2 linked regions of the Styela clava genome follow. The protein of the gene in region 1 interacts with the protein of each later gene in a pairwise test. Links are inferred from orthologs where the notes say so. Each region holds a gene or a part of one and is shown in the gene's direction. Other genes may lie near its edges.

The links.
Region 2: the proteins of splicing factor 45-like (region 1) and U2 snRNP-associated SURP motif-containing protein-like interact in binary tests that used the Homo sapiens proteins (3 or more experiments, as listed by UniProt). The link is inferred for Styela clava from reciprocal best matches to the Homo sapiens genes RBM17 and U2SURP.

Annotation. Positions count from the first base shown.
Region 1 is NC_135252.1:14,904,484-14,921,437, reverse strand, and holds splicing factor 45-like, read left to right. Parts: upstream 1-10,302; 5' UTR 10,303-10,353; coding exon 10,354-10,581; intron 10,582-10,760; coding exon 10,761-10,992; intron 10,993-11,536; coding exon 11,537-11,734; intron 11,735-12,085; coding exon 12,086-12,213; intron 12,214-12,985; coding exon 12,986-13,117; intron 13,118-13,207; coding exon 13,208-13,305; intron 13,306-13,473; coding exon 13,474-13,666; 3' UTR 13,667-13,932; downstream 13,933-16,954. Other genes in the region: ATP-dependent DNA helicase DDX11-like, read left to right, coding at 15,833-15,953, 16,357-16,460, 16,798-16,954. UniProt on the Homo sapiens protein: Splice factor that binds to the single-stranded 3'AG at the exon/intron border and promotes its utilization in the second catalytic step. Involved in the regulation of alternative splicing and the utilization of cryptic splice sites.
Region 2 is NC_135258.1:18,776,199-18,792,259, forward strand, and holds the start of U2 snRNP-associated SURP motif-containing protein-like, read left to right. Parts: upstream 1-9,031; 5' UTR 9,032-9,259; coding exon 9,260-9,283; intron 9,284-9,728; coding exon 9,729-9,942; intron 9,943-10,022; coding exon 10,023-10,156; intron 10,157-10,256; coding exon 10,257-10,479; intron 10,480-10,553; coding exon 10,554-10,696; intron 10,697-10,773; coding exon 10,774-10,879; intron 10,880-11,158; coding exon 11,159-11,373; intron 11,374-11,925; coding exon 11,926-11,969; intron 11,970-12,652; coding exon 12,653-12,757; intron 12,758-13,322; coding exon 13,323-13,389; intron 13,390-14,499; coding exon 14,500-14,693; intron 14,694-15,379; coding exon 15,380-15,622; intron 15,623-16,005; coding exon 16,006-16,061.

The DNA of each region.
Region 1 (16,954 bases):
TTTGATTGCTGTGATGTGGTGCTCTGTTTATACAGGTACTTGTAAGTCACCGCATATGATTTTTGGGGAATTGTTCTGCGTGTCCATATATTTGCGCATTGCTCTCTTGTTATATGTGATATTTTGAATTTTCTGCGTCATATGTTAGAAACATTTCGCTTCAGCGTATTCCGTACATCACTCGCACTTCTTTAAAGACTATGTTTTGATTTAAACATGACCATTGGTGTACTTTTTGTTTACTGATAAATGAAAATGTTACTATAAGAATATAAGACACACAATCAACTTTAACATTTTTTTTAAAGATTTTTTTTATTGCTCGTATAGTCGCATTAGAATGTATTCTAAAACATTTGCAGCAAAACCAACGAAGTCCCTCCACTGCTGATGCAATGGAATCAGCTCCGTGCAGTGTAGATGAAACCACTTATCGCACGCAATCCAGCGTGGTTTATCAGACCTACCATTGACTTACATACAGCGCAATCCTCCTTCTTTTTTTCTCTTTGTTTTGTAGACGAATTCCGACTTCTCTTCATAGTTTTGGCTTTATCTAATCTCATAGTTTCCTGTTTTTCTAATCTTTGAATTTTTCCTAACTCTTTTCTGTCCGCCCTTTTTCTTTTTTGTTCCTCAACTAACCTTTTTTTCTCAAGTGCACCCTTTATCTCGAATCTCGATTAGAGGACAAATTATACGGAGGAATAATTTTGAAATTGTTCACGGGCTTTTTCTTGTATTTTAAACAACTATTTTCTAGGCAAATTTGTCGAAACCGTATCAACACAAAAACTTCTTATTTCTAGTTCTTTCAAAGTCTCTAACTTCAGGTGTCTTCATGCGATATAAACCCCACTGCCTTCCATGTCTCTACACTCTAACTTCTTTTCAAACAGTGTCGTTTTATATCTCTTCCCAACGCATCCAAAGCTCTTCTGCACTTAGAATTAATTGGTGACAAACACTCGTACATTTTAGAAGCCGGGAATGTTACAGCATTTATACTCTGATCATTTAGGTTTAGCTTAACGTCATCTGATGTATTACAACTAAATTCGGATGATCGTGATGTAAACATCTGGTCGTCATTTTGCATATCAGACATATTCAAGGTGGTAAGCGTCTCTTCAGGTTGCTCTCCGTCAAACAAAAGAAAATCCGAGTACGACACCCCATGGTCTAGTACAGGGGTCACCAAACTACGGCCCGCGGGCCGGATCCGGCCCGCGACGTCATTTTATCCGGCCCGCGGCGTCATTTTATCCGGTCTGCAATAACACACAGAAATGGCTAAATTTTTTTCAAAGGGAGATTTTCACGAGCATCGTCGTCCTTGTTTATTTCGTAACATTGGCCAATCGACAAGATGCAAAAAAGTGACGTAATAATAGGCCTTTCCGCATCCGCTCAGATACTTTTGTCACCCTGACAGATTTTCAGTCGTGGTTGTAAAACAAAACTTCGTTTTTGCAACTTTGAATACTACCAGTACGTAACGTTTTCTGCGATACACTTGTACACTCGTGGCGCGTGCTTTCGACGGAACTGTTTGTTTTTTGTGCTGAAATAAACGTCGAATGTGCATTTTGTGCTAACAGTACTGTAATCCCTCGCGTACTGCTTCAATTTCAAAAGCCACACTAACTTTTGTACTGCTTTAATGCGGATATTCATGTAGGTATGTTACAAAAAAATTGAAGTTCATCCGATTTAAATAAAAACTGCTCCAGTGGGAAGATCTGAGTAAAAATAGAAAACAATACCAAGTTTATAATAAATGATCAAGAAATAACGGAGATATCGGAATTTTAGTACCGCCCGACAGGCCAATTTTTTCCATAATGAATGTATTACTTTTTTGATAAGAACTGAACTAAATATGGAAAAATAACACATATCAATCACTAATCTTTTGTTGTGCGTCACATCTATGGAATATTGAGACTATTTCAGGATTTTATTCTGGCAACGGTCATTGACACCGCCAAAAGATCGTCGTAAATAAACGCTGGAGTGCATGATAGTTTGACAGTGGTTCATTGTGGGTAATAATTAACGATGTTTTGGTTGTACGAACTTCATAAAAATTGTATCAAGTTAGGAAAGAAATACACACGTCCACATAAATTTTATTGGTGTCCATAGACAATATCATTAATTTGCTCTACGTATAACTGGAGCGTAGTTTTTAAAAGCGTCGAATGTTGGGAAATTTATGCGCTAATGAAAAAATCAAATACCAGATAATAGTTGTTTATTTTATCTAAATTATGTCAAAATTTCATAGAATTCCAAGCTACAGCAGGCAGTCGTTTTTATAAGCGGTATTTCAACACGGCGTAACGGTACTTAGCAGACGTGATGCATACATTTTTTGCCGCGGATTTTATAACATTTCTAATTCATGACAGCAACGTTTTGATAACATCTAAACTCAGGATAGTTGTCTCGAAATGGAAATGTCTGGAAATCATGTTAATTTTTTTTCCTAGAATGTTCTCGATCTATATTCTGCGATATTCCCAACATTTGTGAATTTATTGTATTGCATTGACAAAAATATTCATCCGGCCCGTTTCAACACAATTTGAGTCATATCCGGCCCGCGGTCAAAAAAGTTTGGTGACCCCTGGTCTAGTAGTTCATTGGACGCCAACACTCTTAGAGATTCTATATTTTTACTTTCAACAGACGTTGGGTCAGCAAGCAACATTGGAGTTACGTCGAGAGTATCCAAGACAGTTCCTACGTCCATAATCTCAGTCATTCACTTCCCAGATCTGATGTTGAAAATTATTGTGGACCTCAGGCTTTGTGGATTTTGAGATTGTTGATCGTCAACAAATATGGTGGACGGTAAAGCTTTTTCTAAATCCACAGCTCCAATGTTTGGAGGCCAAACGCCACATGTAGTGTGGGCAGGCAAACAGTAAAGAATGATATTGTTCTCTCTGGCCTACGTGCTCGTGCAAAAATCTTTGCGGGACGTGTGATCGTCAAGAAGAAGCACGACGGCCCCTCTTCTTGACTTATTGGGTAAATTAGGTATAAAGGTTTCCTCCATTCAGTCATAGAATGAATCTTTAGTCATCCAACCTTTATCGATTTCATGACATCTGCTTCCCTCGAAAAAATCCAGTGCGTGAGAAGGATTCATGCGGTTGACGGGAAAAATTATGTAAGGTGAAAGAACGTTGCTGCTGGCACTAATATAAATCAGTACTGAGAGTTGTGTTGTTTTGTTGCATTCGTTTACAGGCAACAACTTTTTTACCGGCCTTCGTTTGAAAGGATAATACGCTTTCGTGGCAGTTGTATACACAGCTTCCACTCGTGATATTATTTTTATCCAACATTGTCGTGTACTGTTCAAACCAACTGGTTACCCTTCACTCGGAACCAGCAATGACTCGCGCCACCTACAATTTCTCAGTTGACATCAGTTTTAGGTCAGGATTACGAGACAATAATCCGTACCAACTGGAATCACTGGGAAGATTATTGTTGAAATACCTCACATGCTTTCCTGGTAAATCTAAAATGTTTTCACCGTTTGAAGCAACTAAATAAATAATTATTTGAATAAATACATTCACCTAGATTTGGTCAAGAGCAGCATATGTCTCACGTCACTCTTTCCTATCCTGAGTTCATTTTTGGCATGTCCTTAAAAAATGTTTTTAATGATTCTTCCTCCTCATGTGTTAAAGTAGTTGGAGGCCCGCGTTTAGGCATCACAATGAGTGATATTTTTCTTGAAAATTTAAGATATGCCGTCGTTACTATAATTCGGCAAGCAACAAATTCAAACGTGCTTTATGCGACGGACCGATACCGAAAGAATTGTTGACAGTCGAAAAACAGTAACAAACCGGCCAGAGAAGATGATTGCGGCGGTTAGGCTACTTCACTAGACCCTTATGTTTACCTTTGTTTAGTTGATTTCTTTTACTGTACTACTGCTTCTTGTATGAATTTGCCTTCAGCACCCTGTCGCCATGCCACTGTAGAGTTTCATAAGTGTAGATTAAAACCCCTTTCGGATCCTGATTTCAATAATATTGTTTGCTAATGTCTTCCGAATGAGGTACTGCCCCAAAAAACAATGGCCCGTACCGAAGTTGGCGAACCAGGTTTCTTAGCGGCGGTTGACATGGTCACCCTGACTGAAGTCGCTTGCTTCCTTTGTTACAAACGAGATTCGGGTCGCCTCAATGTATTTTATTTCCGTATTCTCTTAATATTTGACTTTTTTCCTTTGGATGTTCGATTTCCTTATAGGTGACGCTGCTCGATAATCATTACTGGTTTATCGCGTCTTCCTTCACACTGAAATGCATTTTTCGTTATCCTATTTGTACAATGTGTATTTTCGGCATGTGTAAAAATAAACTACTGATACTAATTAATGCCACTGCTGAAACGATCAGACAAAGCTGCTTGAACGATCAGACGAACTGTCAGCCCCAGAAGATCATGGCAACAGATCTGAAGACGTCAAAAAGTTTCAGAAGAAAGTGTATCATTCGTCATGACAGCAAATCCGTGCCAGAAACGAAATACGAACAGTTTGAGGACTTCGTTGTAAAATCCTTAAACAGCAACTTGGAGCTTGACAGTCCCATTGTCAAACTCGATATCGACATCACCCATAAGTTGAGGTCAAAATCCCCGAAGAACCCTATCAATATTAAATTTGTCAGAAGATCGACAAAAAATTTAATATATGGTAAGAAGAAAGACCTGAAAGGTAGCGGTTTGTCCATCACGAAGTGATCAACAACCTCAATTAAATTTGCTTGCCTATAATCCGCGACTTTAGAAATCTTACTTGAACCTTTAACAACCTATATATTCCCGTAACCAATCTTCATACCTCTGTATCATACGACCCTAATTAATTTTAATTATAATTGCCGGTACTTTTGATTAATAGTATTTAAAATAATTTGGACGTTAATTTGGCTTCTATTTAGTGAGTGAAGCAGATCTAGCCCACCTCTTCATGCATCCAGCTTGGCAATTCTGATCGGGCAATTTGGCATTAGGTGACTCCAATTATAATCAGCTTGACGATATCTTTTGAGGAATATTTTTCTATCTACAGTATATAACTGTTTTTGACTAATTCGGTATCCAATATGGCAATCCTCATGGAATTATTAATTTGGTGTGGCAAAAGTATTCATTCATATTTTAATTTGTTTTTATATTTTTCTTTTTACCGAGTAAATTAATTGATTTTAAGTCTCGCTTTTTTAACTTCTAACCTTATCATGTTTCGATGAGTGTGCGTGGGTGCTTTAATATTTTTTTATACTTTTGGGTGAGCGAACACGTACTACTTCTTTTATCAATACTTTTCCATTTTAAAATTTGTACGCTTCAAACCTTGCTTAGGTTATGTTTGCTTTCCCGATTCATAATCAGTTATTTTGTTTTTATCTATTATTTTATCGTCTACTGCTGATAATCTAGTCAAAACAAGAGAGCAATGCTCAAATATATGGACACGGAAACTATTTGCAATAATTGCATCACGCTGTTAAACCGGCAAATATTTTTTGCATTGATAAAACCGCGACCATATTTCATAACATGTTGAACATTGTTGAAAAAGTTGTAATGCTTCTTTCTTGGCATATTTGTTGTTTCTGTGTTTACAGCAGAACTGTAACAAAAAAGCAACAAAATGAATATAAACATTGCAGCTTGCAGGAATACAAATAAAATGGACTAAGGTAATTTGACTGCAATAAAATAACAGTAAACATGTAAATGAAATGAAGTTGGTGTGCTCTGGCATCAAGACTTACATGCGCCACATGTTAAAAATTTTCGGATAAGTTAAGATGCTTCTTTCGTAGCATATTTCTGTTGTTTCCAGCAAAACTGTAATGAAAAAAGAATAAACATGACAGCTGCGAGAATAAAAAGATATACGTTAGGTTAGACGTTAATTTTACCGCAGGTATCAGGTTATGGCACCAGTAATGAACTGACTTTATTTCACTATTAAACATTTGATATGCTCAGCCCTTACACTTACCTGCTGCACATGTCAGCATGTTGAAATTTTTTGTAAAGTTTGTAATGCTCCTTCCTTTGCATAATTCTGCATTTGTGGTGTTTCCAGAAAAAACGTAACAAAACAGCAAAATATGAGAACAAGTATCGCAATTGTACAGACATTCTCATTACTGCATTAATAAAGAAGAAGAGACAATAATTGAATTTCCCTGCAGACGCACTACAAGTAAATGAATTCGGTAAGCTATGGTAAAATTGACAAAGTTACGACAAAATAGACTCTTCTTATTTTCACTGATAACTCTACTCTATTACGGTACTAGGTAGGGTATGTATTGTATTAGGTAGGGTTTGTTTTTAAGTCTGACAGTCTACCGGTACCGGTATCGCACCCATAAAAAAACTTTCAATACTGTCCCCATAAAAAACTTTCAATTCCCAACTTTCGCTAAGGCGGTACCGTACCGTCCCCACAGAAAACTTTTCAATTCCAGCATCCGCTAAGACGGTACGGTTACGGTACAGCGCAGAGACTGTCGTGGTTATAACAGGGAATGCAAGCCCCGCTTTTAGCATACGAGTTAGTTCAGTGTAACCGATTTTGCTCTTATCAAAATTAACTAATACGGTAGGCTAGATTTGCTGGAAAACCAACCTTATTGCAGTACAGTAGTACCGGTAAGACCGCGTAAGGAAAAATCGTAGCAAACAGCAAGGACTTCTTTACGAACCACCGACGTTCGATGGCACGTGATCAGAAGAATCGAGTGCTTATGCGACCGCAGAACGTTCGGTGACGTCATAGCAAACAAAAACAAATCTCACAGAGCTAACAGAAATATTTGAAATAAATAAAAGTAATAGCCTTCTGGAGAAAAATTTCATCTTCAACCACTAAAAATTTCAAAGCAATTGGTCCAGTAATCAAATAGAAAAGCGGTTTTTTAATATTTTCACTAGGTGTGTTAGTCTGTGTCAAACAACAAGAACAACATAATATTGAAACGATCGTTATGTCCATTTCGTGTCCAATAAATTTATACCTCTATTTCGCGCGTAGGATGGGTTTTGAATGACTGAGGTCTATTCCCCTATTCAGAGCACAGAGATATATAAATATATATTTCCAGTTCAGTGATTCAGAGCCATTATGGCTCTGCCCTATTGCACACATGATTGCACAAACGCGAAACTTTAAAGATGGTCAAAGGAAACACAACCCTACCAACGTGCCAAGTTTCATCATTTTATCTATTATATTTCTAGTGATTTCCAAGCTTTCTCAAAAGGACAATGGGTAGTTGACGACATAGAAATTTGGTCCGTTTTTTTCCCTAGGTCGTTTTTTTGGTCGTATTTTCGTTGTTTATGGAATTTGAGTGGGATTTTGCAGAGCTACGAGGACTAGTGGACGAAAGCGCGTGTGGAATATCGCCACGGTTCGTTAAATTTTCCGCATTAATTATTATTAAATCAATGAAGTTAATGGCCACAAAGTGGCTAAGCCACCCTACTAATATAAGCTGATAAGTACCGGTATAAATCATGCGGAATTATATCTACTCAAATCCTAACCAACTAACTCAATATTTGTCACCATAAGGGATAGCCCTGTCTTCATGGTCCACTTGCCGTGGTTACGGCAGCAAAATTTTACCTGCCATTGACCACTGTGAAGCTAGTAGCAAACCTTCTTCTAATTTTGCGCAGCGGTGCGTATAATCTCGTTTTTTTGCTCATTGAAGGGTGAAATGACAGTTTTGTGCTTATTGAAGGGTGGTGGCGTAAAACATGGGCGAGTCCTAAATTCCACACAGAGAACAATGATTAAGTTTGTAGACAGGCTGTGGAAGAAATACATCACGAAGTACATCACGATAAGCAATAAATTCAAATATATTTGACGGCAACTTAGGATACAGAGTGGAAAGCATCCCGGCGGTTTGATCGCCTATGCAGTTTCATTTGTCATAGTACGTTGTCGAAATTAAATATACTCGGCTGATAAAATTGATCAGGACAAATATTTTGACAAAAAATGTTAGATTACGTATTCATATAAGCTTGAAAATATAACGAAACGAGTGTTCCATGTCACCTGCATAGGTTTCGGTAATAACTGCCAATTAAAAGCTAAGTTATGTTCAATTTATGTGACATTTTTTGGAAATACTTCTCATGCCTGCAAACATTTATACAGAGGTGCAAGATGGTACACGAACTAAGAGAAATAAGCAATATCAACCGAGCCATTGAGTTGAGGTCCAAATCGTCTGACCAACTCGATTTACATTATTAAACACTGTGATACCGATAAAAAATTATATGGTGCCCATTCCGTGATGCTTTATGCGCGCTGCTTATTTGGCTAAAGTGTTAATTCAACCAAGAGCCCCGAGCATTTTTGTATAACTTTAAAAATATTTCAAAACCAGCCTACTAAATTACAACATTTCGTAGCCGTAAAAGTGCTTTACTTCGTTTCAAACTGTGTATTGTATTACGTAACAAACGTTAAACTTCATTATAATATGTCTTAGTAATTTAAGAAGTTTCACATGCATTTTGTAGTATAAAGCAAATTCTTCAACACATGCAATAAACAGAACGTAAAAACTGTTTTGTTTCAATATGTCTCACTGGCGCTGAAATCAGAAGTCAGGTTATTATATGTCGTACATTATCGTTATATCGTAATTTGGATATTTTGAAGATCAGCATAACGTCTCTTCTATATTGGTGGCGCGAAATATTAATTTTTTATTCAAGAGATGACAAATTTCCAGAATTATGTGCAATCGTGTCATTAATACACGATAATTTTATAAAAATGGTACAAACAAAATTATGCAATTTACAAAAGTCAAAAAAGCTAATTTTGGCAACTTTCAAATCCCAGCAGCACACTCTACGCACAAGAGGCATTCGATTTGATTATTTTATGTTAAAGAAGTTTATCTGAAGTTTTTTACACAACTAGAACCTAAGCCTTTTTTATTTTAGAATCTGGGGTATTCTCATAGCGAAAATGGCCTTATTTGGAAAAATTACGTATAGCTGAAAAAGCTAATTTAGTCAATTTTCAAAGCCTAGCAGCACACCCTTCCGCACAAGAGGCATTCGATTTGATTCTTTTATGTTAAAGAAGTTTGCCACACAACTAGAACCTAAGCCATTTTTATTTTAGAATCTGGGGTATTCTCATAGCGAAAATTGCCTTATTTGGAAAAATTACGTATAGCTGAAAAAGCTAATTTATTCAATTTTCAAAGCCTAGCAGCACACCCTTCCGCACAAGAGGCATTCGATTTGATTATTTCCCATTAATGAAGATTACCTGAAGTTTGCCACACAACTAGAACCTAAGCCTTTTTTATTTTAGAATCTGGGGTATTCTCATAGCGAAAATGACCTTATTTGGAAAATTACGTATAGCGAAAAAAGCTAATTTAGTCAATTTTCAAAGCCTAGCAGCACACCCTTCCGCACAAGAGGCATTCGATTTGATTATTTCCCATTAATGAAGATTACCTGAAGTTTGCCACACAACTAGAACCTAAGCCTTTTTTATTTTAGAATCTGGGGTATTCTCATAGCGAAAATGACCTTATTTGGAAAATTACGTATAGCGAAAAAAGCTAATTTAGTCAATTTTCAAAGCCTAGCAGCACACCCTTCCGCACAAGAGGCATTCGATTTGATTATTTCCCATTAAAGAAGATTACCTGAAGTTTTCCACACAACTAGAACCTAAGCCTTTTTCATTTTAGAATCGAGCTTTTAGCTTTTATTCTTAATTTTGGTTATATACTTGTTATTTTTCCCAAATTATAAACATATTTCCCATAATAGTATGCTAATTTCGTTTATCTTCATTTTTTTGGGTGTAGATTCTGACACGCGCCTCCATTTCTGCCTTAAATATTACCCTTTCCGCTTCGCCGCACACAAAGGTCAAATTGCTACTAGCTTCACAGTGGTCTGCCATTGGCTTTCAATTTGCTGCCGCGGTAACGGCAGCTCGTCATTGGTTTGTGCTTGTGGCAGCTAAAAAGTCAGTAGCCATAGGTTTGGCTGTAGCGGCCATGGTATGGAAATACTGCCATGGTTTTGCGGCAGCTGCAGACGCCACAGAATACTTGCACTTGTCGAATTGTATGACCATAAATGTTTTTTTCAATGTTCAAGAGTGTTCCTCCCATTTTGACAACACGGTTTCGACTTGCAGGGTGATTCTGTAACACATAACTGCATAATGTCCAAAATAATTTCATTCTCTGGTATGTTTTCAGAATAGGCCTATATATAAACGCAAGAACAATGTCTCTCTATGATGGATTAGGTTTGGATAGTAATCAAGGTGAAAAAGCAACCGGGTGGTCTTCCAGTTTCACAATGCTAAAGTCTCAACTTGAAGCAAAAAAGGCAGCTTTAACAAAGGCAAAGCATGAGAAGTTTCGAAGTGGGAACCCTGTTGTTGCTCCTGTGATTAATTTGAATAAAGCAGTAAAAACAGAAGAACAGCTTGATTACAGCCATGATGACAAAGTTAGTTTTAAAGTTGTGGATTATTTCTTTTTTAAATAAAAAATTTCCAGGTACTTTTACCGATTGGTTCGTGATTCTAGCTGCTGAGCTGTGCAGTTTTAGAATAGATGTTCTATCTTCATAAGTTCGTATATTACTAAGCAACATATTTTAAACGTTTTTGCATTTCAATGATATAGCTAGTGGATACAAAGCCTAGTCCGTTTCTTGGTGGAGAGAGTCTTGATCAATTTGAAGATGAGTACGATCCTAGGTATCCGAATGAATATGAAAAAGTTACACGAAAAAGAAGAGAAAGACGTCAGCGGGAAAGAGAAGAGGAAAGGCAGAGAGAAATGGAGGACAGACGGAAAAGAAGAGATTCAAGACATTCGGATCGTGATAACAGACGAGATGATCGAGCACCCCATGGTAGGATTAATACAATTTTCGTGATATTGCGAATACTTTAAAACCCATATATTAGTTTTTCTTGAATCAGTGAATCAATAATTTTTGATGGATAGTAGCCTTAAGTGATCACAAATATCTTGTGTTCACTCTAAAGAAGAGTTTAAAAGTAATCAAAAGCCTACTAATCTTTACTGACATTATAGTGCTTCAATTAATATTCGAAGTTCTTGGAGTTGAATGACATACACATACACATCAATTTGAAATAGTTCTAAGAAAAAGGGGATTTTGAATGCGGAAAGTGATAGAAAATTCATATTTTACCCACTCTGGATCAGGTTCCAGACATGCTTGCAATTGTTACTTTGTAGATAAATATTATGTGCTTAGACATATTCTAACCATCATTTACACTCTTGAAATTAATTTATGTGAACTTCAGTTACTGTGGGCTTAAACAGTCAGCTAACTATGAGACTGACTCCTTTTATGGCACCAACATACATTGATGATGACTTCATGAAAGCGAAATATTATATATGTAACCATTGTTGTTGTACAGGTAGGTTTGGTGGGCCAGGAAGTGGATTTTCGCGACGACCTGCATCTGACGAGGATGAAGAAGATGATGATTACGAACGAGAAAAACGTATCAGAATGACCCAGGGAAGTAAAGCTGCAATCGCACCTCCAACTATTCTTATAGAAGAAGATAAAAAGGCTGAAATTGCTCCTCCACCGCCTCCTCTAGCATTAGCAGGTTTCAATATCTTCATTTTTCAACAAGCCGTATATTAAACGAAAATTCTAGTCCAATTCATTAAACTAACAGTAAATACTTATTGGCTTAGGAGGTGTTTGTGTATTCAAGGCCTCATTTTTAGCCATATAGAAACTGTGTCAGTGTCGATTGAAATTTAACAGGGTGTAATTTATGTAGAGAGAAATTTCAGATTTTATTTTTAGAAGACTATATGAAGTAAATTTTATCCTTCATGACTCACTAATAGTATTAGGGAATTATAATATTTTTACTTAATTGATATTCCTCCTCAAAAGAATTCCTATCCAATTATTCGATAATAGTGAACACTTGATGCATTACTTGTAGGTGGAGCTGGAACACAATTTGCACGAAATATGGCAGGTTCTGTAGCACACAAAATCATGACAAAATATGGATTTAAAGAAGGATTGGGTCTTGGAAAAGGAAACAGGGGCATCAGTCATGCATTACAGGTTTGTCACATTTTCCGTGTTCGATACAAAGATGTTTCAATAAAATTTAATGAAATAAACAAGATTAATTTATTAGTTGAGAATTGTAATTTGGGGCTATTTTTAGTGTAAAATCTTTTTGGGAATCACAAAAGAAAATATTTCCAAAAGTTTACCAATACAGTACAGCACACTATACAGATCAAGTGACATTGTCTCGTTACAGAGAAACCCATTTTACAGATGATCAGACACCCCTCTTTTGGGAGACGTTTGTACATTGCTGTCTTTCATATATCGTATAATGAAGTTGGCAGTTGCACAAAATACTACAAAAAAACGCAATCTAATAACGTCATCATTGAATTCCCCGGGGAAAAAATAATCCAATTTACAGAAGAAAAATTTTTTTTATCCTGGCATACGAAAGTTTTTACCGAAAAACGGCAATTTTGATCACATGACGGCTGCGATTAATTTAGATTATTATTGAGACAAGCATGGCATGATCTGATTTGGTGCCACACGCCCCTCGTTTGTGAGACGCATGGAGTGTTTGTTTTATTGAACCAAATGGAGGGAATTCTTGGAATTTGGATAGTGTGCCGTACTGCAATATAATAGTGCAGAAAATGCTCAAGGCTGCTCATCCCTGATTGCAGCCATTTAAGTACATCCTTTTTGCCAATCGTTTGACCTGGAGCAACACTTATGATTGCATAGAATCATCTGGAAAGAAGCATTAGCTTTCCTAAAAGTAAAGTCTCTCTTTTGGTATGTTGTCTTATAATAGGTTGAGAAGACAAGTAAACGAGGAGGTAAAATCATACCAAGTTCTCAAATTGAAAAACAACTTGAAGAAGAGAAGAAAAGGGAACAGGAAGAAAAAGAAAGTGTAGCTAATTTGTTAAAGAATCCTACAAAGGTATTTTTACTTGTTTCTGTTTTTTTTTCACATTTGGTTAATGGTATAAATAAGGCATATTTTCTATGTTTATCAATGCTCAATCTACAGGTCGTTTGTCTTCGTAACATGGTTGGGCCTGGAGAAGTTGATCAAGAATTAGAAGGTGAAACATCGGAAGAATGCAGCAAATATGGGGAAGTTAGAAAGTAAGTTTGCGCAATTCCATCGGTTTGATTAGATCTACTATTTATTTATTTGCTATGAACTGGATTTATTTTAAGATTAGATTTTGAAGCAAGATGGAATTCTATAATTCTCTGTCATTTGGCTTGTTTCATTTTATCCTTGTCAGTGAATTCAATTTTTATTTACAGATGTATGATATATGAAATGGTTGGACAACAAGAAGAAGAAGCAGTTAGAATATTTATAGAATTTGAAAGACTTGAATCTGCGATCAAAGCAGTTGTGGATTTAAATGGAAGATATTTTGGCGGAAGGACTGTGAGAGCTTGCTTTTACGATGTTAGTAAATTTCGTGATCTACACCTTGGGGATCCTCTCTGAGCTGACTGCCACTAACAGCTTTCCATATCATCTGATGGGAACAATGTGTTCGCTGCAAGCAAGAATATCGCCATTCTGAGGAAAATGCTAAGATTCAGGTCATGAAAAGCAAGGACTTCGAACTTGAAACATGCAATCATGCCATGTCTACCTAAGTACAATACGTCCACCGGGACTGATATAAATCCTTGTTTTATGAATTTATTTTCTTGTAATATCTAAAGAAAATTTTTTTACAGTTCAATTTGATAGCTTAAGATTGATTAGCTGGGGTCTGCTGATTCCTGTGGACAAGTACGGGTTTCCAAGCAGAATTAAGCGAATATGCGGAGCTAGCAATGTTGATATGCTTAGATAGATATGATACAGGTTAAAAAGGTCTTTCGACTTTTACCGCACTCACAACTTCACATAAGGTTGCACAATAAATAAACTTGTCCCATCTCATCGTGAACAAGCAACTAAAAGACACTAATGCTATGTCCTGGTGCTTGATAATTGAACTCCTTAAATCCAACAAATTCAAAACAAAGGGAGTGATGTTTTCTTGTTCTTTTGGTTAGGTTGATATGACGATCTAAGGTTTATATTCTCACTGGACAATGCTGTGCAAAATGGATTCTTCTGTTAACAGATCTCAAAATTATGGTATACGTGCATGGTGCATTGTCTTACTGTCCATATCACGCGGGAAGTTCTGTGGTTAGGTTTTTTGTATAGACCTTCCGGCTTGAACCATGCTTTTTGCGCTTTCGAACAGCATTGAAGTTATGCTACTTAAATGACCGTAATTTTAATACTGTTAAAAAGCGTCAGACATATAAATAGCATTTTGCCGTAACTTCAATACTGCCAAAAAGCGTCAGTTGTTTAATTTTCCAATAGAATTTCATTGTAACTACAATACTTTAATAAAGCGTCAGTCGCCTAACCTTTAAATAGCATTTCACCATAACTTTAATACTGTCAAAAAGCGTCAGTCATTTAAATTTGACTTAATACTGGTAATATTCGATTTCACTGAAGGTATAAGTTTGGGTTACAACGCGAGACTAACTGTATTTAGTCCTGCTCTGTTATGCTGACGATTTGTAGGCGTATAATAAGGCAAGGATGCTGTAGCCAACTGATAGTGGTCAACATTCAACGCTGGAATAGATATGCATTCTTCTTTCGAAAAGAGAGCTCATCTGATTCACACCTACTTCTTGCCAGTGTGGGTCAGATCAACGTTTCTAGTATAATAATAGCCTATTATTAATAGGTATAAGTATATTTTGATTTTCTCGCAAAAAATCATACACAAAACACAAACAATGAACACACGGAAGATTGGGAATATCGGGGAAACTGGCAAACCCTTTATAAAGGTTTAATACATGGAAATATGCATGCGCCAGATTACCCACGCCAGTTTTAGTATTCATTGAACGTCAGCAATCATTTGAGGATTTCATGACAGATGCGCGTAGTGATGTTATATCTAAGCCCATGTATCTGGGTCGAATTATTAGTTAACTCTTTCAATAGACAACCAAGCTTGTTCGTCTGACGGTAGACTGGTTCGCCATGAGGAATTGAATATGTGTGAGGAAGGATAAGCGAAACGTAGGTATTGAATATCCCAGACCCATGAATATTTATGTTAATCAGTCTTCGAATACACATTACTATATTGATATGTTAGTCATCGCGTTATTTTAAGTTTGTTTTTGTTATAAGTAAGACATAAGTAACACACAACGGGAATGAATCTAATCTCAAACGTCTCCAACTGCTGGGAAAGTTGTTCGGTTACATCAATCTGTGATAACGACATTTGGTCATTTCAGCTATAATTTGATGACTGAACGAGATATTAATTCAATGTAACCATTATCATGTTTTAGTAAGTAATAATAATTACTCGCATACATTTGATATCACAGTCATGGTTTTAAAAAAAAAACATTTTTTTCTTTTCTTGGAGAGAGTCTTAAAATACGCCACCATGTGCTGAGCTAAAGAATTGAGTGGCGGGAACTTTAAGGATTCGGTGATTCCCTTGAATGCTGGAAAGTACCTTTCCGCTCGTTCTCCTTGTCCGTGAATTCGACTGAACTCCGAGGTTGCTTCTTGATTGCATTCTTATTGAAACCGTGCACTGATATTTGATTTCAACTTGTGATGGAAGCTCCTAAGAATTTTCCGTTCCCATTCGTTCCTTACGGAATACAAACAGATTTTATGAGGAATCTTTATGAGGCAATTGAAGATGAGAAAATTGGTATTTTCGAAAGTCCCACTGGTAAGTCTGTAAGCAGGCAATATTTGTGATGATAATCCACTATAGTGATTGACTAAATAGAATATTTCTGTTTCTTTATTTTAATTTTCCCTCTGACGTTTGCTATATGTCCGTATGTCGAAGGGTTAACATACAAACATATGTTCCTTCTCGAAGTCATATCGCAAAACAACATGGTCCAGTCAGTGGGCTACTAGCAGATGCAGAGATGAACAATAGAATTGCAGTTTAGTCTTTGAGAGATTCGATAATCTATCTTCTGTGTCGAGACAATCAAAAGAACTTCTAATTTTGCGGTATTTCTGTATTGTATTTACTCACCAAAATTTCAATGAGTTGCGAAAAATCATCCATGCCACACACAGGAATAAAAATAAAATATGAACATAGGAATATTTTTCAGGAACTGGGAAATCAATGAGCATCATTTGTGGAGCTTTAAAATGGCTCCAGGATAATGACAAACGAATTCGAGGAATCCTTGAAGAGGGAACTGCAGTAACAGAAGTTCGTATTTCAGTATTCAATGTTTTCGTATAGTAAAATAAATTTTAGCAGATCAACAAATGGAATAGATAAAACAAACTATTTCCTACTTTGCAAAATATGAATTGATTTTAATAATGGTCAATTCATCTCTTTATTTAATTCAGTAATTGCTTAGGTCTTGATAAATAGGTAGATGATCCATTTCATTCAATTTTTCGTTTCATTTTGTGACCATACAATATTTCACTTGGAAATAATCAAAGTAAAATAAAAAATAAGGAATATGGCATTGTTATGATTGCAGAATCCTTTATTTCCATCACTATTTTTCCATATATGTCCTTATATTCCTCAGACAAATGATGATGTTCCAACAAAAGCAACTGACGTTTCTGAAGAACCCGATTGGATCACAGAATTTGTTCAAAAACAAGAGCAAAAAAATGAAGAAAAAGAAATGAGAGATGTTGCTAAGAAATTACAATCAAGGGACAAAAAGATGAAAAGAATTC
Region 2 (16,061 bases), on another chromosome or scaffold:
CAGCAGAAACGATGATCAAGGCTTGAAATCCGTGGTCGCACACTGGTCGTTCGGTCGCAAATACGTCTTTCGAGTGCCGTACTTTGGGGATTTGTATAGCTTTAACCCTTTGTCGTAGAAAGTTAATACGAGGTTTAGCGTGTAGAATAAATGCCGCCAATGCACCCACGGTGAAAAAATTAACGGGTTAGATATATTGGTTTTTGTTTTATAGCGGTTTGAATGAAATTGTCCGCAGACTGGCTACACCACCCTAGGCCTGGTGAGTTGTCCGTGTAGTCGAATTGTCCATCAGCCCTAAACGGCTATGACAGTCACTGTACCAAAAATTGTACCCCGATTCGGCTGGTGTTAAGTTGACGCATGTTATTTAGTAACGTTTTTATGTGAAATGTTTGACTGTGGTTCGGTACCTGATCCGATAATACGGTACATAATTGACTCATATCACGAGATATTTCAACTGATGTTTCAATTGTCACAGGACCTAAAATATCTATGACAGTCCCTGTACCGTCACGGTACCCCAATACAGGTACTGGTAAGTCACCGCCGGTATGTTAGTCGTTGGTCACCGCATATGATTTTTGGGGAATTGTTCTGCGTGTCCATATATTTGAGCATTGCTCTCTTGTAATTTATATATGTTCATGGTTTGACGAACGAAATAAACTCTCTCGCTCTATCAGTTTAAAATACTGACTTCTGGACTTGACTAATTTTATACATATCAAAACTTGTAAATATTTGCATATCAAAACTTGTCATTTATTTCGTTCCATCCATGTATTTTCCACATGTTTTTCCAATAAAAGATACTTACGCCTTACTACTGTTATTTGTAGCTTATTATTGTTAGCTAATTATTTTTGAGGTGGGGAGCAAGACTTCACAAATTCTAAAAAGGGGGTGCGGCTTGAAAAGTTTGGGAATGTTTGTATGTTGTAGACCCTAACCTGGTACACATGGTTCCGGTGTCTACCAACTGGGTTTACATACTTCAAGAGTACCTTTTTGTATTACAGTTGGGAAACAGAAAAAGCTGAATGTCGGTCTTATTCCATCTGTAAATTTACCAAAAACTCCACAAAGAATGAACAATGTGTATTATCGATGAAATGAAAAGTGACATATAAAAAATACAGCTGTAGAAAATATTTTGCATTACAGAAAAATTAGTTCACATATTAAATATTTTACATTACAAAAAAAATGGTGCTCCAGAAGTATGTGTACCAATATGAAGGTAACTAATTTTGTTCGCCTACTTTATATCAAGTTGTGTAAATGGACTAAATTCTATCGGTAGGGGGATATTCACTTGTGTAACACAGACAATTCCCGAACTTTTAATAGAACAAAAATAAGGAGAATCGTAACCTAATCTGGTACACATACTACGAGTGTACCGAAAAAACAGCCCACATAATAAAAGCAGTTATGGAAATACTTTACAATACAGAAAAATTAATTCACATAGTAAATAGCAGACAAAGGAAATATTTTGCATTGCAGAAAAAAAAGCTCACATATTTAATAGCAGTCATGAAATATTTCTCACTATTGATTACAAAAGTATAATTGCATCCAAATCCACAGTATCTATACGACTATATAAAGAATCGTTAAAATTAAATAATATGCAAGAATCATATTAATAACAAAATGTATTCTAATCAATTTTAATATATCTAAAACAAAATCTTCATAAATATTTTTTGTAAATTCACAATACATGAAAATATGTGAAACAAACTCAGGTTCTCCATTACATAATACACACATTTCATTCCCTGCTTTTCTTCCAATTTCTGGCTTTTGTTTTCAATGACAAGATATCCCAGAGTAATTTATAGTTAAAATCAGTATTTTTAATAAGTAAACGAATAGCTCGCAGAGCCATGTGATTCATATGGAGGACAGAGCTATGATTGAGAGAGGCCGTGGTTCGCCATATATTTAGGACTTCTTTTCGGCTTTCCTCTCCCCTTGGATAAATATGTAAATCCCATGTTATATTAATTAATAAATACATGAATACCCGCACTCCTCTCGGCGACTGGTTCATATTCCGTTCTGTAGATACGTTTTCTGTCTAATAGATATGCATTCCCAATAAGCATATGCTCATAGTTGTATGCTTTCAGCGTACCATACTTCGAAACCCAAAATCAAATATGTATTGAAGAATTAAAGACCTCAAGTCAAGTTAATACGGCCAATTTCGCACCCGACTCGGCTGAAGCAAGGGATTTTGGCAGCGAGCAATGCGTTTTCTTAATATGCAACGAACCATTTAGCTGGACGACGTAAAAATGCAGGGAACAATGCCATAATGAGCAAATCTTTGCAAGTTTCCACTCATTGTATATATGCTCATTGGTTAGCATTAAATTCCAAGTAAATATTTCCACATTTCATGATTCGATCGGCGCTACACGCGAGCGTGTTTGTGTATATATTCACCAAACACCGTCAAGAAAACAGAGGCGAGCTACACGTGACTGTGGAATTTCGCTGTGAACGACGCATTGTTTTTAATTTATACACTCCTCACGCCCTCGTGAATTGAACTTTTGGCGCACTGTTTTAATTTCATCATAATTTTAAATTTCAATGGCAAGATATCCCAGAGTAATTTATAGTTAAAATCCGTATTTTTAATAAGTATACCAAAAGCTCACAAAGTCCAGGCAGCCTAGGCTTTATCGGCTTTCTTCTCCCCCTGGATAAATATGTAAGTCCCATGTTATATCACTGAATAAATACAGCAATAACCGCACCCCACGTGGCGACTGATTCATATTCTGTTCTGTAGCTACGTTTTCTGCCTAATAGATATGTATTCCCAATATGCATATGCTCATAGTTAGTATGCTTTCAACGTACCATACTTCGAAACCCAAAACCGAACACGAATCGAAAAATCAAAAGCCTCAATACGGCCAATTTTGCACTCGACCCAGCTGAAACAAGGATAGGATAGGATAGGATTTACATATTTATCCCGGGGGAGAGGAAAGCCGATAAGACGCCTTATCCATATGGCGAACCACGGCCTCTCGTCCGGTTACCATTCCAAGTCGGGTATGGGATTAGTTATATATTGTTTGTTTACGGAAGCATGAACTTGGTGGTGGAGGAAGCCGTAACCGACCATCGGTTACGTGAACCACCCAACGACGGCGAGGAGGCCAGCAATCCTCTCGCACATAACCATTCCTGCAGGGGATTCGAACCTGCGAACCCACGCAGAGTAATTAGAGGTGCGGTGGCGAGCGTATTCCTAACGCTTAGCCCGTTGAGCCACACCGCCGCGCCAAGGGATTTTTGCAGCGAACGATGTGCTTTCTTCATATACAACGAACCATTTAGCTGGACGACGTAAAAAATGAAGGGTACAATGGATTAATGAGCAAATATTTGGAAGTTTCCACTCATTGTATATATGCTCATTGATACTATACGTACAGCCAACATAACAATACGGAATAACCATTTCCGACAGCCAAACAAAACGGAAACGTATGATCCGACTTGCAACTGACAGGAGCCAAATGAACGTTTTTGTTTTTTTTGCCGTCCAGTAAACAGAGTCACGTTACCCGTGTCCCCTATATTTATTATATATCTTTTAACGGGCCTAGCTGATTTTTTTAAATAATGTGTTCCGATTATTTTTACATGGTAGCTTTTCTCTAGTTAGTTTTTCGTAAATTGTATTTGAAAGATTACTTCTCGGTTATTCAGGACATGTAAATACTTTGTCGTTAAATTTTAGAATGATTCAGATTCAGATATTTTATTTCGTCATGCATGAAACATTATCATCAAATAATTATAATAATAAATTTAAATAAAAAATAAAAGACACACAATGACTCAAATTTCTTCTTGCGTGCGTCTATGATTTTATATTTATTTTGACTTGTTTTAAATCTTAGTCTTGCGTAATTATTTGATTGCTATGAAATCTGCTATTCTGGTGTACAATAATTTATGTCTGAAATAGTTATAATCTATGGACCTTTCCCCGACCTTTGACCCTCGAAAAATTACTCCCTATACTTTACCATGGCAAAATTTTCGGGGCTATTTTAAGAGTGCTTTTGCGAGTTGGCGCCTGTAAAATAGGGTATGTGTTTCAAACCATCATTATGATTCATCGCATACAACAATCTGTTTTTTTTTTTAAATTACCGGTAAAGAATTTTAGCCTAGTCTCTCACAGCTATTTCTACACTAATTTTTTATTACTGCAATTAAATTAAAACTTCTAGGAAGACAGAGTGATCATTGAATTATCTGATTTATATTTTAAGTTTCCGAAACACAACAGAAAACTAACGAATAAAGTTCAAAAACGCAGAAACGAAGTAAAGTTTACGACCACGCTTTAAAATCTGTCTGAGTGAAAAAAGTGTCTGAGCGGAAGCGAAAAAGAAGCATTGTTACGTCACTTTTGCATCATTCTGATTGGCCAATGTCCCCAAAAAAACAAGGATGTCGATGCTCGGGGAAAGGTCCATTGCATGGCCAAATAGAGTTATTTATTGGACACGTAGTGGACATAACGATCGTTTCAATATTATGTTGTTGTTGTTGTTCTTGTTCTTTGACACGTTTTTAAAAAGTCGCTTTTCTCTTTGATTACTGGACTAATTGCTTTGAAATTTTCAGTGGTTGAAGATGAAATTTTTCTCCAGAAGGCTATTACTTTTATTTATTTCAAATATTTCTGTTAGCTCTGTAAGATTTGTTTTTGTTTGCTATGACGTCACTAAACGTTCTAAGGATATCGGACGCCATTTTGTGTCCAACGGACCATCTTGCAATTTCAATTCACGCTGTCACAAGACAGGAGTTCTGGTACCGTAACACAGCGCGGTGACACTGAACTAACTCGTAGCTGTCAAAAGCTTGAAAATCCATACAAATATGAGAAATAAAAAGATGAAACTTGGCAGGTGGGTAGAGTTGTGTTTCTTTTAACCATATTTGAAAGTTTCGCGTTTCTACATTTGAAGGAGGGGGAATAGGGGGTGTGCATTTCCGATACGTCGATAATATCTTTGTCAACCAATTTGCGATCACCGTGTTTTCGTCTGTTTGATTGCTGTGATGTTTTGCTTTGTTTATAATTTAACGAGTTTTGTTCGAAATAACCGTGTTCTTGAAATATATGACGGCCAGAAATGCAATTAGAAGCCCAATGTTTGCACGCTGTCACAAGACAGGAACTTCTAAAGATAGAGTAGTTCTGGTACCGTAACACAGCGCGGTGACACTGAACTAACTCGTAGCTGTCAAAAGCTTGAAAATCCATACAAATATAAGAGATAAAAAGATGAAACTTGGCAGGTGGGTAGAGTTGTGTTAACCATCTTTGATAGTTACTTCTCTCCCCCGGGATAAATATGTAAATCCTATCCTAATACGTCGATAATATCTTTGTCAACCAATTTGCGACCACCGTGTTTTGTCTGTTTGATTGCTGTATGGCTGCGTATGCGGTAGTCTCGACGCAGCAGAAACGATGATCAAGGCTTGAAATCCGTGGTCGCACACTGGTCGTTCGGTCGCAAATACGTCTTTCGAGTGCCGTACTTTGGGGATTTGTATAGCTTTAACCCTTTGTCGTAGAAAGTTAATACGAGGTTTAGCGTGTAGAATAAATGCCGCCAATGCACCCACGGTGAAAAAATTAATGGGTTAGATATATTGGTTTTTGTTTTATAGCGGTTTGAATGAAATTGTCCGCAGACTGGCTACACCACCCTAGGCCTGGTGAGTTGTCCGTGTAGTCGAATTGTCCAACAGCCCTAAACGGCTATGACAGTCACTGTACCAAAAATTGTACCCCGATTCGGCTGGTGTTAAGTTGACGCATGTTATTTAGTAACGTTTTTATGTGAAATGTTTGACTGTGGTTCGGTACCTGATCCGATAATACGGTACATAATTGACTCATATCACGAGATATTTCAACTGATGTTTCAATTGTCACAGGACCTAAAATATCTATGACAGTCCCTGTACCGTCACGGTACCCCGATACAGGTACTGGTAAGTCACCGCCGGTATGTTAGTCGTTGGTCACCGCATATGATTTTTGGGGAATTGTTCTGCGTGTCCATATATTTGAGCATTGCTCTCTTGTTGTCTTATCCAATGGCGCCCCTAGCGAAACGTGTGAATAACGCCATTGCGCAGGACGGTACGGTAGCCTACATTCGTTGACTCATTCGTTACGGTAAGTTAGATAAGCAGGCTCATCTGCGGAGCTACGGTACCGGTAATTCTTTACATTGAATTACGGCATCCGAGAATCTGGAAAACGCCTAATAGCATGATGAGCGTTTTTATGATTATTTGTCTAATTCTTTAAAAAAAATTTGTTTTCCATTTCCCTAAATGCTAATATCGGTTAAATTTATAATATATATAGTATAACTACTGAAAATGAAAAAAAAATGTATGCACAATGGTCACTGTATTACATGGATTGACATTTCATGAATGTGGACACAATTTAAATTGGATATTTGAACTAATATGGGTAAATGTAGGCCTATCTGGATTATTTAATATTTGTGATTATTTATCTATCAACTATTATCTATGAACGAGACTCGGATATTCGGGTCGCCTGAATATATTCTATTTCCGTATTCTCTTAGTATTTAATGTTCGTTATTTTATTCCTTTATAAAATTTGATGTTAGACTTCCTAAAACCATTACTGGTTTATCGCGTCTTCCTTCACACTAAAATGCATTTTTTTCTTTTTTTACTTAATCCTATTCGTATCATGTGTATTTTCGGCATGTGTAAAAATAAACTACTGATACTGATATCATGTAGCCTATTGTATACTTATCACCTAAATTAATTGGAAATTGGGATTCATGCAATTAAATTGACATAATATATCTGGATAAACCAAAACTATCATTTTCATAAATCCGATTTAGCTATGGATTTAAATTTTTCAAAAAAAAAAAAGAATTAGGGCACACCGACATTATTCCATACGATCATGGTCCTGAATAGCTGTTCGGCTGTAGGCGGATAGTGATGCAGTCTTGTTTGTTTTATAGACTACTCAGTCAGTCCAGAGACAGAGAGACCCCGAGAATACTGGCATACGACACCTATTTCCCTCACACTCTGACACTGGCAGACTGGCGAACCATCACCTCACTCTCAGAAATAAAACAGTTCCTCTCCTGAGTAGGCTATACTTATACCCATATTGCATATAGAAATTGCACCATATTAGTTTTCAAGCCGCCAAGGGCTGAAGAGTACAAGTTAGCTTTTTCAGTTTGTCCAAAGACGGTACCGTACCTGTACGAACTGCTGTATAGTCTGATAGTCATGTGTTCTAAGCTTGTTGACTAAATCACCTTCATTTTTAGCTTATGCAATAATATATTTCTATTCAAGGGATTTTTAAATATTGAATACATTCCAAATTCATTGGTTACAAGTTCATGTGGAAAATTACATTAATCGTTAACATTATATCCTCAACGAGGGGGGCGAAGCCATTTTCGATCGCGAGCCATTTTATCAGTCAACGCCGAGTAAGCGGGCCGCACAACTTTTAGTCATACTATGATGCCTATTAATTTTCATAAACTAAAACGGACAACCAGACAACTGCATCCATACAACTGAAGTTATTTAATGCAGTAATGATATATTGCAGTATAAAGAACATTCATTGCATGTTTTGCCTAGTGAGATATTGGAAACTTTTTCGCTTTACTAAGCGCTTTATACTAGGACGAACTGGCGATTTGGAAACTTTCAACTGCATACTAAGATTTTTATCTGTCAGTATTGACCTGCTGACCTGTATCGATTGAGTTTGGTCTCGGGTGGCGTCATCTCACTCGGCCGGCTGTTGGAACTGAATTTCCGCTTAAAAAACGCAGCATTTTTGACTCGACTAAAACAACATGAATATAAAGGTCAATGTTTTTTCTCTTTCGTTTTTTACTAGTTGAGATATACCCGTTTGTCTGACAGCTCAAAATCCACAATTTGTCAATAAAAATGTTCTAAATTTTTCCTAAATTCAAATATTTGACTCAGAAACGAGGGCATCTAACACGAAGGCAAATGTGTAAAAACATGCCATGTTTGTCTTGATACCGTAACAATATGAATCAATCGCGGTGTGCAGCGGCCGGTGCATGACCAAACTTGTGTTTTTTGCAATTTAGATTATGCATTCTTTCAATATATTGTGTGGTGTCGGTTTGTCAATATGAGGGCCTATAGTACTGTGTATATAATACATTCACTGTTAAAATTGATGCTGGGACTATTTATAGAATCGGTGAACTGTATCATACTGTAATTTCATCGCTTGGCATTAAATAACTTCGGAAATTTAAACATTTTTGGAAGAAGTCTCAAACACATTTATGTATCATTAAAGGAAAAGTAATATGGTCCACACTCGACAATGATAAATATTCCAAATTTGTCTTCGGATGAGATATAAAGAACAAATCATATCTTATTAAAGAGAAGTAATTTAATAGATTCTAGTACAGTCAATTATTTCTGTGTGATGTTTTGGTATTCAGAAATCTACAGACCTAACCCTAGTTCTTTAGTATGGTGATAACATCAGGATATCTAGAAAAAAAACGGTGCTCCCGAAGTATGCGAACCAAGATGGCAGACATCGGAACGTAACATGGGTAACAGGTTAGGGTTAGGCGATAATTTTTTTCCAATTTTCCTCATTTTAGTCCTATTATCAGTTCGAAGACTAGCCAAGAGCCTCCCGTAGTATTTATACCTAAAATTATGGCCTAACCCCAACCTAGTACACATATTACATTCCGATGTCCGCCATCTTGGTTCGCATACTTCGGAAGCCCCAAAAAAACAATATGCTTTGAAGATTAGGATTAGGAATTTCAATATGATATTTTGCTATTAGTGTACCACCTCACAGCTGCGGATCATATATCCATATTACTGTGTTGTAACTGTATTAAAATTATCATTTTTCTTGATATTACAGTTTTAATATTATTTTGCAGCACATTGCAAATAAACTTTGTAGTTCAATATTTTCAAGTGATGTATTACAGTGCGTCTTATTCAGTATCGGGTTGTTGATGACCGGATTGGCCACTGCTTGTTTTCTGCAGTTTGTTGACAATCTAGAGGTCAAAACCAAGTGCTACTCCCTGAAGTAAATACACAAAACAGGAGGAACAGAAAATTCAAGATGGAAAACACATTCAAAATGAAAGTGAGCAAAAAAATCTCATCTTGATCTCTATAATTACAACAGCTAACATTTACTACTTTAACCTTCAGTAACCATGTATTGATGTAAAAATTGCAATCAATTTTTTGGTGTTAAATTATATTTTTTATAAATTGCGTATTAGCTTTGTAACAAGAGCATTACGTGTCAATGACAGCCTATCAACGGTTCCAAAAAAATGGGCGGACAAATTGAAAAAAAATTACAAAAATATAAATGATTTTTCGTCCGGTTTTCTAATCGAAGTTTGAAGCGATATTTGCCAGAGTGTTCAATGAAGAGGCACAGGATATTAAAAATCAAGAAAATACGTTTTCCTCATTTTTTCAAAACAGTTGTTTCATAATCTTTGACACCGCTTTGGTGAAGCCCTCGATATTGACTCGGATTTCCACAAATCACTGATCGGCAATTTGTTTTTTTATAGTCGATACCAGAGAGTAAACTGAAGGCGTTCAGCATTGGACGAATGAACATTGTGAAGACCGGAATGTCTAAAAAGGACAAAGAAGAAATGAGAAAGAAAGAGGAAGAAAAAAAGACTGCGGAAGTTTATAGCGAGTTTGTTGCGTCATTTGAAGGTGACAAAGGCCGTGGTAAAGCCTTTGTTCGTGGTGACGTTATAAACCCTGATGAAAAAAGTAAGAAATATTTTCCAATAATCAATTTTCTTGGAATACCAAAGCATTTCTGACATTTTATTTTCCAAATTCTTGTACAGCTGGCAACAAAAAGGGAAAGTTGTACAAGCCAACATCCAAACTACAGGAGCTTGTGAAGAGTTTCTCCACGAAACCTGATGTATCAGTGTCAACACCTGGAAAAAATATGAAACCAGATCGACCAACTATTAAGGTTCGTGTATCAGTAAAGAATCTTTAACAAGAGCATCATGCATAGTTATATGACTTCATTTTCTAATCTCAACTAATCATTGCTGCCGTTACTTCGCTAGAAAAAGGACGATAAGAAAAAGAGCAATTTAGAGCTCTTTAAAGAGGAACTAAAAATCATTCAAGCTGAACGTGAACAACGACATGCTTTCAAGAAAGATCGCAACTCTCATTCCACAAGAACATCATCATCTACGAAAACTGACAACCGTCAAAAAGCAAGACCATCAAGGTTTGAAAATGTGAGCTCTCCGCCAAGGGATCGTGAACAGGATTCTTCTTCACGTATGTTCATATAATTAATCTTTTTTTATTGTTGTCAAGCTTCCACCTTTTCAACAAACTTTTGGTTTTTACAGTGCTTGATGAACTTGTACCAGGATCACACGACAGCGGGGATCCTATGACTACAAATCTCTTTCTTGGAAATGTCAATCCTAAAATGGACGAACAAATGCTTTGTGGTGTTTTTGGAAAATACGGTCCGCTTGCAAGTGTTAAAGTATGAATTTTTTTTTTTAAAAGTTGCTTGAAACAGAACACAATTAGGATATGTCGGTTTTATTTATCGTATTTTAGATTATGTGGCCAAGAACAGAGGAAGAAAGATCAAGGGAGCGTAATTGTGCGTTTGTTGCTTTCATGACGAGGAAAAATGCTGAAAAAGCAATGAAAAACTTACAAGGTTGAATTCTCAGTTGTTTATAGCTAGTACAATATTTATGTAGTACATGTGTTCATGAGAATTCTGATGAATCATTGCAGCAATTTTCATGATAAATTAATATGTTTGAAACTAAAGTGATTTGTAATCAGTTGTTTCCTGATTGATTCATGTACAAGATTTATGAAAGTCTTGTGAAAATGGCTCAATAAGTGTTACTTTATCACTTTTGTGTATCAATTTCATTGAAAGTGAACTTGTTACCTTGACCCGATTTGATTGTCATTTTATTTCTTGTAGGAAAAATGACAATGGACTATGAAATGAAGTTGGGTTGGGGAAAAACAGTACCAATTCCACCACATCCAATATATGTCCCACCTATCATGCTTGAACGTACTTTACCTCCGCCACCCTCTGGACTGCCTTTTAATGCTCAACCAAAAGATCCCAGCAAAGCATCGGGAGAGATTGGAGTAGCTCCGTCATTTCGTGATCAAGAAGAATTCGAAGATGTAAGATTTGGTATCCATCAGCTTTCAGTTATTTTTTTTTTTTTTCTAAGATCAGAAACATAATTTGTGGATATGTGAATGACCTTGAGATATTCACCTTTCTATCTAAATTTCCAAGTACAATAGCTTTATATTTAAAAGAGTTTGGAAGTTTTAGTGCTGAAATTTAATTAAGGGATAAATGATTGAAAATAAAAGATCGTTATGAATAGGAAATATAGACTCTAAACAGAAATTTCGATTTGGCATATTATGTATTTTCGACGATTAGTAAGTATTGCCTTCAAGATATTTTTCTAATTAAATCTTGAAGTCTTAGCTCCTCCTCCTGAAATTAATAAACGCGATGATCAGGTGGTTCATTTAGAAGGGATAATTTTTCAATTTCAAAGTTTTTTTGATAATGTTGTGTATTCTCCAACACAAGTTATTGATAAGTTATACTTTATTATATGTTTTATATCATTTCCTAATTCGTGTTTCCCTGTTATTTTACCATTGGTGGCTTCATCCCGTCTCTCGCATCATCTCTCTATCTGTTCAAAACCAAAGACACTGGCAAAATCAGTTGTGAGGGTGGTAATCCCAACTGAAAGGTATCAGTATCTCACAAATGTATTATTATATACATATTACTTAGCGTAGGATTGTTTTTGTGTTGTGTGGTAACTAAAGTATGGTAAGTTTATAGCAGCCGATCAAGTATGCCACTGGTAAATCTGAAACATTTTGCCGAATATTTTTTGTGAAGTTACGTAAATCAAATAGGATTTCCTAAATTTTATTTTTATCGATATGCATTGATGCAAAATTGGTTTAAATGAGTTATATTCTTCCACTGGTGCTTGTACAATTCCAGATTATTGAAATTCGTTTTTTTATTTAAATAGTCTAATTTTGCAGTACATTTTTGCATTTATTAAATTAATTAAATATATCCAAAATAAAAATACAGCATTATTGAATTTTTCCTGACTTGGGGCTGCGTTTTAAAAAGAGAAGCCCCCAAACTTTCATTTATTAATTTTTCATTTGGTTCTGGTTAATGCTATGTTTTATTTGAGTCCCTCAAATAACAATCCCTCAAATCACAGTCAATTCAGTTTTTTTTTTGAATCAGTGAATTCACACATTGAAATTTGAAAAGAAGAATTATAGAATTTTCGAACTAAAGCCATTGTGATTCTCTTTTGTTCCAGCAATTCCGACAATCTATCTGATAATTGTGGTGTTTGGCCTCTCGTAGGCTAGTTTTCCTATAACCCGCAATTTATTGCAGGAGCGTCCTTGTTATTATTCATCGTATGATTGAATTTGTCGTTCGTGAAGGACCGATGTTTGAAGCAATGATAATGAATAGGGAGATTAATAACCCCATGTTCAGGTATCTTATATATTTTGTTTTGATCTTAAAAGATTGCTAATAATAGGTATATCGGAGAAGTTGGAAATACAAATGGTTATAGTTCTCTATAAAGGATTGTACAATTTTTCAATAAATTTTATTCCCCCAGGTTCATCAATTTTTGCAGCTTTTCGATATTAATTATAATCCAATCATGTTCATCTACTTCACACGCTCCATTATTCAAATTTCAAAAATATTAATTCATATATATTTGGATGCAATCTGTATTTCATATATTACATGTTCCATTCATTTTTGATTTGATGTATCTGTAATTTTTTTCTGAACTACCCACATGTCCAAATTATATAATTCATTTAGATTCAAATTGTTAATGCTTTAGTTATGAAAGACGCATAGGTATCGATATTAGAAGTTAATTAAATTAATGACTTATTTGTATTCCACTCAAGGACCCTTTCAAACATATAATGACTAATAGTGTGTCGGATAATACGAATTCAAGATAATTTTCTTGATTGCACTCTCGTAAAGAAACTTTTCTACAGTTTACATTATATTTAAATATTGTATATTTCAGATTTTTATTTGAGAATCAGAGTCCTGCTCATATTTATTACAGATGGAGGATGTATTCAATATTACAGGTATTTCAAATAAGTCTAATGAAGGATCTAGTTAAATTATAATTCTAAAGCAGGGGTTCCCAAACCGCGGCCCGCGGGCCAAATACGGCCCGCGTAACGATTTAAAATGGCCCGCCGAGCTTACGTGAAATAGTGTTCAACAGATTATATTTCTACCTTTTTTGCGATCTAGATACCGCTAATTTATGTCATTATCAGAGTTCAAGCAAGTGTTTATCGTAGCAATTCAATTATACCAGCATACCACTCATAGGTAAGGATGCTAAGAATGATTACTTTCAAGTATTCGATTCTTACCCGGTTCCTAAATTTTCGATTCTGATTCTCGATTCCTTGACATATCTTTCCGAAAAAACATACCCACCTAAGCAATACCATATGAAATCAAACCAGAGAGCGATGTTCCAATATATGGACGGACAAGGAGGCCAAAACTAAGTAGTATGGGTATTCAATCTGTCACAGGAGACTAAATCGCACCAAAAAAGAGGAATCCCTCAGAAATTTTAGAAATAAATAAACGTACACGTAAAAGCCTTCTAGCGAAATAAATATATATAGTGAAGTTTGCGGCGCCGTAGCAACTCAACTTAGCAGTAAAGCAGTTCATACATACATGCGAAGGAGTTGCCACAAAACGTTACACATTGTTTAAAATCCAAAATTCAACCTCGAGAATCGATTCCAATGTATCGGAATCGATTCTGGTCGATTCCGCAAAGAATCGACTCTGTAATCGAACCCGGACTCGATTCCGTCATCCCTACTTATAGATACCGGAGTTAGGATTACATAGGGCAGTAATTTAGTTATCAGCCATATAGGAAAGCTTAAAGATGTCAGAAATCAAACGAAAACTAGACTCAGAAAACTAACGTTTCTTGGATAAATGGCAGTGTTCGTATTTCTCCATTGAAAAAATTTCAAATGAAAGTGAATCCACTTTTGGGCGCTACATTCTTCCGGCCCGCGAACGTCTTTCCGATTCTAATTTCGGCCCGTGGTTAATAAAGTTTGGGAAACCCTGTTCTAAAGTGATGGTCTACAAAATTTTTTCCTGGTCTACATCATTTTTACATTCCCAAAGCTTTTATATCTTTATTTTTTCAGGGTGAAACGGCCACAAAATGGCGAACCCAGGATTTCCGTTTATTTGAAGGTGGGTCAATGTGGCGTCCTCCACCTATAAATCCATATGAAGAAGTAATGTCAGATTCAGAGTCGGGAGATGAACAGCAGACGACAGAAGTCGAAACAAAATCTATAAAGGAAGAAAAACAAAGAAGACAGGAGTTGAAAGATGAGTGAGTTATTTTTTGAGTTCATATGATTGATTTAAATTTTGGTCCAGAGAATCATGGGCCTTGATGATATATCAAACATAAGTATCAGCTTCCTTACTTCTATTTTACCTTAGTCTCATGCATCCTGATTTGTTTTCAGTGTTTCACACTTGCGAATAAGGCTTTTTAAAGCATATTTTCATGCATCTACAAAAATGCTCACTTCCGACACAAAGATTTTTTATTGGGTATTTTACTAAGCTTCACTTCGAACCACGCTTTAGACAAGTAGCCATCTATTGCTATTTGAAGCAGTGGTTCTCAAACCGTGGCCCATGGGCCAATTACTGCCCTCATAACGATTTAGAATTGCCCGCCGAAATTAAGTAAAATAGTTTCTCAATTTATTATTTTGCGTTCTAAAAAAGCACGCTATACTCGTAAGCACTTGTATATTCGTAACAATTTAATTATACTGGTACCTTAATTATACATACCGGTATGGGCATCTTGCTGACGCTCCTGGCCCGGAAATATTCTTCCACTTTTAATTTTGGCCCTCGTTAACCTGGGAACCTCTGATTTAAAGGATTAACACTTGTGTGTGCAGCAGTGCCCGCCTAATTTATTGATAAATATTAATGTTTTAAGTCCAACTTCCAGTTTATTATCAATCAGATTTTTACATTTAAGTATACTGTTTGCAGGGATCGAGATAAACTGGAAGAAATACTTCGTGGCTTATTACCAACACGACAAGCGATTGCTGAAGCAATGGTGTTTTGTCTTGAACATTCTGATGCAGCAGAAGAAATTGTAGAATGCATTGCTGAATCTCTTTCCATATTACAAACACCTTTGCCAAAGAAAATTGCTCGTCTTTATCTCATTTCTGATGTATTATACAACTGCAGTGCGAAAGTTGCAAATGCTTCTTTTTTCCGAAAACAGTACGTAAAAACTAATTGGTTTAACTTCTATTAAAGACAAATTGTTTGAACTACAAAATTGCAACCAATTTTTTAAGTAACAATTTTATGCTCAGAAATAAAAATGCATTAGTGTATTTTAAATAATTGTCTACAAATTATGACCAAAAAAAGTATATGTAAATCGCAGCAGTTACTTGTTGTTTATTTGTGCGAAGAATACCATGAATTGGGTATGTTTCAGAGGTATTGGACTCTAATGAATTCTTGATTTCAAGATATTCTGCAATATATTTGTTTAAACGATAATTTCTGACATATTACCTAAGTAATTGTGGGTGATAATAAATATTAGAAATCACGAAAATGTAATCATTTTATTTTTCTCATTTTTGTTTATCCAGCTTTCAAGCCAAATTACAAGAAATCATGTCGGACATCCATTCATGCCATGCTAACA